Linked DNA regions of Coturnix japonica. The protein of the gene in region 2 purifies or fractionates together with the protein of the main gene of each other region. This does not show direct contact. Links are inferred from orthologs where the notes say so. Each region holds a gene or a part of one and is shown on either strand. Other genes may lie near its edges. The genes, in order: SQSTM1, SESN2 and MIOS.

The links.
Region 1: the proteins of SESN2 (region 2) and SQSTM1 purify together in Homo sapiens (affinity purification with western blotting; 3 studies listed by BioGRID and IntAct, with this or other methods). This does not show direct contact. The link is inferred for Coturnix japonica from reciprocal best matches to the Homo sapiens genes SESN2 and SQSTM1.
Region 3: the proteins of SESN2 (region 2) and MIOS purify together in Homo sapiens (affinity purification with western blotting; 5 studies listed by BioGRID and IntAct, with this or other methods). This does not show direct contact. The link is inferred for Coturnix japonica from reciprocal best matches to the Homo sapiens genes SESN2 and MIOS.

The regions. Positions count from the first base shown.
Region 1 is NC_029528.1:4,620,824-4,623,011, forward strand, and holds the end of SQSTM1 (sequestosome-1), read left to right. Parts: coding exon 1-191; intron 192-443; coding exon 444-651; intron 652-1,259; coding exon 1,260-1,417; 3' UTR 1,418-1,570; downstream 1,571-2,188. UniProt on the Homo sapiens protein: Molecular adapter required for selective macroautophagy (aggrephagy) by acting as a bridge between polyubiquitinated proteins and autophagosomes.
Region 2 is NC_029538.1:1,893,147-1,896,926, forward strand, and holds the end of SESN2 (sestrin-2), read left to right. Parts: coding exon 1-113; intron 114-353; coding exon 354-536; intron 537-727; coding exon 728-937; intron 938-1,056; coding exon 1,057-1,207; intron 1,208-1,290; coding exon 1,291-1,406; intron 1,407-1,523; coding exon 1,524-1,714; intron 1,715-1,833; coding exon 1,834-1,978; intron 1,979-2,091; coding exon 2,092-2,178; 3' UTR 2,179-3,143; downstream 3,144-3,780. UniProt on the Homo sapiens protein: Functions as an intracellular leucine sensor that negatively regulates the mTORC1 signaling pathway through the GATOR complex. In absence of leucine, binds the GATOR subcomplex GATOR2 and prevents mTORC1 signaling.
Region 3 is NC_029517.1:22,623,453-22,627,107, forward strand, and holds part of MIOS (GATOR complex protein MIOS), read left to right. Parts: coding exon 1-73; intron 74-779; coding exon 780-932; intron 933-2,208; coding exon 2,209-2,413; intron 2,414-3,453; coding exon 3,454-3,583; intron 3,584-3,655. UniProt on the Homo sapiens protein: As a component of the GATOR2 complex, functions as an activator of the amino acid-sensing branch of the mTORC1 signaling pathway. The GATOR2 complex indirectly activates mTORC1 through the inhibition of the GATOR1 subcomplex.

The DNA.
Region 1 (2,188 bases), on a different chromosome or scaffold from region 2:
CTCCTGCTTCTAATCAAGAGAATAACGGTGCCGAGTCAAGCAGCAGTACTGCTAATCAGAACAGTCAGAGCAAACCATGCTGGAATAGCACAGATTCTGCAACGGTAGTAAACAATGTTACAGAGCAGATACAAGACATGGTGATAGATCCTGTGCCCACACAAATGGAAGATGGCAGCCTCCAGTCCCAGGTACAAGAAACACTGCATTAATTTAATACGCTTGCTGAGGCCTTACTGAAAAGGAAATAATTCAGTATGTGTTGAGGGACTGATGATTCAGTTGTCAGCAGATAGAGAATATATGGCACTTTGCTTTACTGGTTTACAGCAAAGGTGGGACTTGTTGTAAATGTAATTCTTCCTATTAAAAGCAGATAGTAAGAGCATGCATCCTACCTGGAAAGCACTACGGCACCTGGACCTCCTTTCTTTCCATTTCAGGCACACAGTGAGTCAAGCAGTTCATCAGGGGGTGACGAGGACTGGACCCACTTGTCTTCCAAAGAAGTGGATCCTTCCACAGGTGAACTGCAGTCTCTACAAATGCCAGAGACAGATGATCCCAGCTCCCTAGATGTAGCTCAGGAAGCTCCCCAGGCAGGACCTACAGGGCTGAGAGAGGCTGCACTCTACCCACATCTCCCACCAGGTACGAGAATGCATGCAGGTTGCACGTGAGTTAAAGTTGCTCTCACTTATTGCCAACTTGTCCAATATAAGCAAACCTGCTTAGGAACCAAGCTCACATACAGACAAGTTAAACTGTAACTTGTGCTCTGGCAGCACTCTGCATGCTGTTAGGAACAGGCATGTTCTCTGCTTGAATGGTGGCAGCAAGTCTTAAACTGGTACTAATATGCCATTTGAGCAGGATGAGAGAGGTGGCCTCTAATCAGTGTCCTTGCTGTGTACTCTTGGAGAGCCTTTTAATGCAGGCTGTAGACAATACATCCTGTAACTTAAGACACTTTTCTGGCAAGAGCTAGTTAGGAGTCTGCCAGGTCACTTAACTGAAACCACTGGCAATGAGGTTTACAGCAAGGACAGATGGATCTAACTCAGCTGCTTCCTTAGCAGGTTACATATGCTGTATCTCAAAATGTCTGCCTCATAGGATACAGAGGAAAGTGTCTTCCAGCGCTTGTCAGCTATGCTAGATCTGCTAGGATTAGTGCCAGCCCACCATGTGATACCACAGCCTTGGCTGGTTTGCTAATAATGTGAAGCGTTTTAACTTCAAACTCATTCTCTTGACAGAAGCAGACCCTCGCTTGATTGAGTCTCTGTCCCAGATGCTCTCCATGGGCTTCTCTGACGAGGGTGGATGGCTCACTCGACTCCTGCAGACAAAGAACTGTGACATCGGGGCAGCGCTAGATGCCATCCAGTATTCCAAGCAGCCTCCTAACTTGTAGTAGCCTATGTAACAAAAACCAGTTTCCTTCTAACTAAAAGAAAACTATGTGGTACAGTTAACTCTAGCAAATGCATCTTCTGTTACAGGTTTCTGTTTCATGTTCCTAAGTGCTTGTAGTGTGGAGAAAAAAATAAATACTGCCACTCTTTCACTGGTGATGAGTTTGTGGCTGTTTAATAATCATAACTGTTCTACTCTGTTAACTGGAACTTGATTATAAGTTAGGAGAAGATCCAGGCCAAGAGCACATGATTTCTATGTCAGGTGGTTCTCAGTGTAAAAGTAAGGCTAGCTCTGTGCCAGTCTGTTTCTTGCACATAACCTGGGCTCTGAGCAGACACCTCGGGGTTATTCATTTGTGAAGAGCAATCAAATGCTTGGCTCTGAAGCCTGCACCGTAGCTTTGAAAGAAAGAGTTGCTATGGGTGATGCAAACAAAGAGCTAGAACAAGGGAAAAGAGTTGCAGTTTATAGTGGGGAATTAATCACAGAACTTAACTGTACTGGTAAGATATTCTTAAAGCCTTGGAGGCATCCCTGCTCCCTCCCATCTGACCTACTTCCATTCTTACTTCTAATGTACTTGCTAGACACCACTGTGCAAACATAGCACTTGCTTCTTGGATCAGTCTTTCCCAACAAGACACAGCTAGATTGCCTTTAAACAACTTCTTTAATAATGCTCTTAAAACCACCTTCACTTCAAAATCTTGCTTCAGTATACAAGCCAAAAACAGACAGAAAAGCAATGGTGAAGATGCCCAAGTTT
Region 2 (3,780 bases):
TGGTGATGGGGCTGCACCCCCAGTACCTGAGCAGCTTCTGGAAGACTCAGTATCTCCTGCTGCGCATGGACGGACCCCTCCCCTACCACAAACGCCACTACATCGCCATCATGGTGAGCGGGGGACCCCCAGGAGTGGGCGATGCCATCCCCTAAACACCACTTTGGGGTCATTTATGGGGTACCCAACACCCTTTACAGCCTGGGGGTTGATGTTGGGATGCAGAGCCCCCCTTGGCTGAGCGCTGCCCCAAGGGAAACCCCTCTGGGTGGTGATGGGGAGGGGGGGGTCCCTGTGTGGCTTCTCCAAAGGCTCGTATTGGGGTTGGGGCTGACCCAGCTGATCCCCCACAGGCTGCAGCCCGGCATCAATGCACCTACCTGGTGGGGCTGCACATGGGGGAGTTCCTGCAGGCGGGGGGCAACCCGGCATGGCTGCAGGGGCTGCACTGCGCCCCACAGAAGCTCAGGAACCTGAATGAGATCAACAAGCTGCTGGCACATCGGCCCTGGCTCATCACCAAGGAGCACATTGAGGTGGGACACCCCAATAGGGGGGTTTGAAGGGGGGTTGGTGGTCCTGGGGGCCACATCGCTGCCTGGATTTAACCCTTTGGGGACCATAAGTCGGGTGGGTGGATGGGGAAGGAGCGGTGGCTGGGAGCATGTGATGTATGTATGGGGCTCAGGGCCTGATGCTGTTGTCCCCCCCCATCTCCCCCCTGCAGGCACTGCTGAAGACAGGGGAGCACAGCTGGTCGCTGGCAGAGCTGGTGCAGGCGCTGGTGCTGCTCACCCATTACCATTCTCTCGCCTCCTTCGTGTTCGGCTGCGGCATCAACCCCGAGGCAGGGCAGGATGGGGGGCAGGGCTGCAGACCCCCCTCACCCCACAGCGACAGCAGCCCCACAGCTGAGGACAACACGGGGTGCTCAGGGGTAAGAGCTGGGGGGTGCCGTCCTGCTGGGGTCTCCCTATAACACCCAAGGGATGGAGTGTGGCCCCTTGTATGGGGGTTTATTGGGGGTGCAGCACTGAGCCTGCCCCCTTTGTGCAGGGCAGGGATGCTGTGCGGGAGGTGGAGGCGCTGATGGAGCGGATGCAGCTGCTGCGGGACAGTCAGAGGGAGGAGGAGGGCGTCACACAGGAGGAGATGGCGACGCGCTTCGAGATGGAGAAGACTGAGAGTTTGTTGGTGGCCCCATCGGGTAAGAAGGGGGTTGTGTCCATAAAGGGGCTGTTGGCCCCCATTGCTGGGCCGTGGGGTGGTGCTCACAGTTGTGCCTTGCAGATGTGACAGACCATGCCCTGCAGTCCGGCTTGCTGTGCTTCGTGGAGGACCCTGAGTTCGGCTATAAGGACTTTACACGGCGAGGAGAGCAGGCGCCCCCCACCTTCCGTGCTCAGGTGGGTCCCACTCCCCCCCCAGCACCAACAACAGGGGCTGGGATGGAGCCAAAGCAGCAGCACTGGTAGGTGATAGAGTTGTGATGGAGGGGTGACCATCTTCCCCACCCCTCATAGGATTACACATGGGAGGACCACGGCTTCTCCCTCATTAACCGGCTGTACCCCGACGTGGGGCAGCTGCTGGACGAGAAGTTCCAGGTGGTTTATAACCTGACGTACAACACCATCGCGATGCACTGCGGCGTCGACACCTCCATGCTGCGCCGCGCCATCTGGAACTACGTGCACTGCGTCTTCGGCATCCGGTGGGTCCCCCCTGTGCTCCCCCATCCCCTGGGTCCAGCTAAAGGGATGTGGGTCTGGGTATGGGTGCCCCAATGGGCTTGTGGCATAGGGCTGATGTGTTCGCTTCATCACCCCCCAGCTATGACGACTATGACTATGGGGAGGTGAACCAGCTGCTGGAGCGCAGCCTGAAGGTTTACATCAAGACAGTGGCCTGTTACCCAGAGAAGACAACCAAGAGGATGTACGCGCAGTTCTGGAGGCACTTCAAACACTCCGAAAAGGTGCTTTTCCCTTCATTTCCCCCTTCATTTCCCCATTTCCCTTCATTATTTCCCCTCTCCTTTGGGGCTGAGCCCCCCCCTCACCATGCCCTGACCCTGTTGTCCTGCTATAGGTCCACGTCAACCTGCTGCTGCTGGAGGCCCGGCTGCAGGCTGCCCTGCTGTATGCACTGCGCGCTGTCACACGCTACATGACCTGACAGCCCCCTGCTCCCCCCCATCCTCCTCCTGTTCTGTGGGGGGGGCTGGGAGCAGTGGGGAGCTGGACTGTGTTGGGATGTCACCTCCTGCCTTATGGATGTAGAGATATGGGGGGGAGATGGGGGTATCTGTGCCTCTTATCCTGGGGTGGGGGGGTCTCTGAGTGCCCCCCATGTGCCCCTGTGGGGTGGCTGGAAACGGGGCTGTTGTGTGCCTTGTGTTGGGGGGGAGCCCCGTGGAGCTGAGCCCCTTTCCCTGGGGTGCCCTTAGCAATGATGCTGCTGTGCCCCCCCCCCCACAGCCCCATCATGTTTGTCATCCTATAGGGGGCTGAGGGGCACAGAGGTGTTGGTGCCCCCTTTGTACCCCCCTGCAATTGGGGACTGGAAGTGCCTTGAGCCCTGGGTAGGGATTAGGGTGGGGGCTGCAGCACCTGCACTGCCTTTCTGACCCCCCCATGTGCCCCCTGCCTGCTCTGTGCCACTGAAGGTCTGTGTTGCATCCTGTGCCATCCCCCCCCCTCCCTCAGGTCCCTTTGTGGCTGTGGAGCTCAGTGCCAGGGCAGCACTTCTCCTATCGCTGCCCATCACTCCAAAGCTGGGGGGGGCTGTTAGGAGGGCAGCTGCCCCCCCTGCAGCACAAGGGACCCCCAACACCCCCCCATCCCCTGCTGCACTTTATTGCACAGCACACTGCCGTGGGGGGGGGTCCATTGGAGCACTGCTGGGCTGGGATATGGGGTGCCCATGCTCAACCCCCCCCCTCCCATCCCACACCCCATGTGCCTTTCCCCTCAGTGCTGGTCACTGGGGGAGCCATGGGGACCCCCACCACCCCCCAGGTTTGTTTCTGCTGCATCACAGCTCCACTTTAACTTATTTCTGGTTGTTGTTTGGACTCCTATGTGGGCCTGGAGTCTGCAGCCTTCATGTGAAGGAGGGAATACATTCTTTTTTTATTATTATGGGGTGTCTGAGTGTTGTTCTTTTACCTTCCCCCCCCCCCCCCAACATGCTGTGATATGGGGTGGGGGGCAGCGTGCAGCAGCACCAGGTGCTTATCAGCACCCAGCGGCACCTGGGAGCTGCAGATAAGAGATGGGACGGTGTGGGGGGGGGGGGCAATGAGCAGCTGCACGAGGTCTGTGGGTGCAGGGGGTGCCCTGCAAGGGGGGGGGGCTGAAGTGTGTGGTGGGGGTGCGTGTTGCTGGGGCAATGGAGGGAGTAATGGGGGTCCCAAAGGGGGATGGGAACGGGGGTCCTGAAGGGGGAGGGGGGGGGGTCGTGAGGGATCGGAGCTGCAGGCACTAGGGGGTGGTTGAGGGGGGGGGGTCGCCATGGGGGCTGCGCTGCTCCCAATGGGGGATCGGGGCTTTGCTGGGCCGGCAGCGACACTCGGTGGAGGAGGACAGAGGAGCTGCACAGCCTGCATTGCTGCAATACCTGCATCGCTGCACAACCTGCATCGCTGTACAACCTGCATTGCTGCACAGCCTGCATTGCTGTACAACCTGCATCGCTGCACAACCTGCATTGCTGTACAACCTGCATTGCTGTACAACCTGCATCGCTGTACAACCTGCATTGCTGCACAACCTGCAT
Region 3 (3,655 bases), on a different chromosome or scaffold from region 2:
TGGTGTGGACTTGATGGAAAGTTATGTTGACAGAACTGGTGATGTCCAGACAGCAAGCTATTGCATGTTACAGGTTAGTTTCTCACTCAAAAATGAATCTTTACATAGTTTGTTTAGCAGTTGATTCTTGTGAACTGAGAAGTATATTCAGTAGTAAATTTTGACAATATATAGCCTGCCTGTTTTGTGCAATCATCTGAAACACTTTGTGATAACTACAAACTTCTATATTCAAGCTGTCTCAGTCAGAGAAAGTGAAGACAAGGGGAAGACAGAAAAAATAGCCGAACAGTTGAATAGTTGAACTACTTCAGCATTTTCTGATAGGTCCAAAATAGGCTTTTTTGCTTCCAGGGTTTTTTTAGAGAAATGCTATAAGGTGGAGGGTTTTTTTTGTCTTTGGGTGGATGTTGCTTTTATTTATTGTTTTGAGCTTATCTTATCGTGGTCCTTAATGGAACAGCTGGAGTTACTACCTGTGCTGTGTTTGACTATGGATGTAACCACAGTAATGATATGAACTCAGGTGTGCTACAGAAATGAATAATCCCAGTTTTTAGGAGATCAGCAGCAGGAGCATTCTCAACCTGAAGGGCAAACTGAAGAAAACTTTTATCAATCTTGTGTTAAGTGTTTCCAAATATCATCTTTCTCTGTGCAAATTTTGCTATTATGTATCATATTTTGTATTATGTACTAGTAAAGCCTTTTGAAAAAGTGAATAACTTGTGTTGTGTGTGTTCAGTGTTATGTCTGGCATTTTTTTCCTTTCTCTTTAGGGTTCTCCTTCAGAAGTACTTAAAGATGAGAGGGTTCAGTACTGGATTGAGAACTATAGGAATCTTTTAGATGCTTGGAGGTTTTGGCATAAACGTGCAGAGTTTGATATCCACAGAAGTAAGCTGGATCCCAGTTCAAAACCTTTAGCTCAGGTAAGTATCATTCTTACATGAAGTATGACCAATCCAGAAAGGCAACGTGGTACTTAAATAGAAATAAATAAATGAAACTGCTGGGTGCATCTTGGCTTTTGTGAGGAAAAGAAAGATTTCAAATCAATGTTTTGTTGTTTTATTTGTTGTTGTTGTTGCTTGGTTGTTTTTGTTATTAATATATTCAAAAATATTACTCAGAAAAAGGACTTAACTGTTTTGGTAGGGGGTAAGGAAGTGAACAAGTTTACATGAATTCTAATCTAGGAAGTGCCATTTCATCCAATCATTATTTTTCCTAAGCCTTTCCTTCTAACAAAAACTCATCTTCTGGAATCTGTAATGTTTCCACGCTTTTTCTGGTGTATCTGTGGATTTTTTTTTTTCTTCCAGTGTTGAAAAACAAAATCAGAAACTTACCCTAGTGAGTTCTTCATCATGATGAGGATGGTGCTGAAACTAAGAGATGGAGCCAAGAAATGGTTCAAATTGGCTTTTAGTTTAACTGAGCCTTTGAAGCCTTTGAGTCTGAAGTGAACAGCAGTTTTCCTTATCAGTTAGAGCATAAGCTAAACTGAAAACTGACACCCTATCCAAATATTATCTGGTACTGTTCTTACTCAAAATGTTCCACCCACAGCAACTCCTACTTGCTCATGCCTGCTAATATGTGCATTACAAACATTGGGGATGCAAGGATTTCTAAGGAAGGCTGTTTTTTGATGCACGTATTCTTCACAGCTTTTTTAAGACAACTCCATGTATTCTGCTCCAAGTGAGAAGGAGTTGAATTTACTGTTCGTGCCTTACATGAGCAACATAAGTAATTCCTGAAGAGCTCAAAGTATTGCTTTTCTCTGTATTATGCCTCAACTTGTGGCATAAGGTATACAGGTGAAGATTAGTTGGCTTATCCTCATGTTGGGGGCTCTAGAGTGAGTCACTTGAGTAGAAAGAGGGAAAGGCCTGTAAACTGAGTAAACTGAATTTCTTAAATTGCCTGACATATAAATTGTTATATTCTTAAATAATATCTCTCCCAACAGTAATAGTTTCACATGGTTTTATGAATTACATGGGCATCATTGAGGCCTACTTCTCAGAAGTGCATATCAAGTCTATAAGCCAAGACGTTTGCAGCACCTTCACAAGACTTTCCAGCTTAGTTTTTAGAATGTCTCATCAATTGAGTCTTTGCTAGCTGGAGCAAATTTACTTGTAATTGTAGAAGAAATGGAAACAAACTGAAAAATTAATGGGCTTTTGTTCTCTTTAGGTGTTTGTGAGCTGCAATTTCTGTGGAAAATCGATCTCTTACAGCTGTTCAGCCATTCCTCATCAGGGACGAGGTTTCAGCCAATATGGGGTTAGCGGCTCACCAACTAAGTCCAAAGTTACCAGCTGCCCTGGTTGTCGTAAGCCACTTCCTCGCTGTGCACTTTGCTTGATAAATATGGGAACTCCAGTTTCCAGTTGTCCAGGTACTACATACTTGTTTTAAGTTGTTCAGCTGGAGTCCTCATTAGAAGCTAAAGAACATGATCTGTTGCACCTTTTCCTCCTGTTTGTACTCATACTGTAAATACTAATATTTAAATAGACTGTAGTAGAGAACACATTTACATCCCATCCAATATTTTGATTAAACCTATGTCTTTTTTTTTTTTGTGTCAGACTGTATGCACAGTTACCTCATTCTGGCCTTTTTTTTCCAGCGAGATCATTATATCTCCATAGTTTAAACAGAAGAAAAGATTTGGATATTGTGGTGTTTGGTATTATGAGCTTTGACAATGTAAGAACTGAGAGATGTGTTTTCTTGGAATGAACTGTTGGGAGGCTGCAGAAATCTTGTAATGTAAATTAATTGCTCTTTAACTGGAAGAGGAAATAAATGTAGTGTAGTATATATTCTCTCTGTGACTAAATATGAAAGAACGTATGGGTCCCGCTGGCACAGTTAAGAGATACTATTCCTAGAATCTCTTGGTTCTGAATGTCTTGGACTCATCCAAGGTCTAAGTAAAATTAATTTTTTCCATATTTTTAGGTCAGTCTTGTTAAAGAGCTATGAGCGTCTGTACAGTTGTCATCCATTTATATCTCTCTCATTCTTTCACTGGTCAGTGTTATGAGTTGTTACTGAATTATTCCAATTCATAACTGAGATTTTGCTAATCTTACATGTTTTAAAGCAGAACATTCCATGAACAGGTGCATAATTCACTGGAACACAAATTAATCACCAAAACATAAATCACCACTGGAAGAGATTCTGTCTGCAAAATTTAATAGGCAAGATTAGCATGTCCGTAAGGTGTGAAACATTAGCCAAGCAATATGTTCTTGATTCTCCACCAGTTCTTACATCTTCAATAATTGTGTTGACATCTCTTTTAAAATCAGGCTGCTTTTTCACCTGAAGTTCCTAATTCCAAATTCACTCTAATAGTGTTAGTGAGGCTGAAATACAAGGTATTATGTTTCATTTGTCTGTTGTGCTGGGCTTGCTTCTGTGCAGGAGGATCCAAGTCAGATGAAAAAGTGGATCTTAGCAAAGACAAGAAGTTAGCCCAGTTCAACAACTGGTTTACTTGGTGTCACAACTGTAGGCATGGTGGACATGCTGGGCATATGCTCAGTTGGTTCAGGTAAGTTGACGTTAAGATCTTTTCCATTTCACTTGTGTATGCTGCATGAAATAGGATGTGTTTGTTGCTACA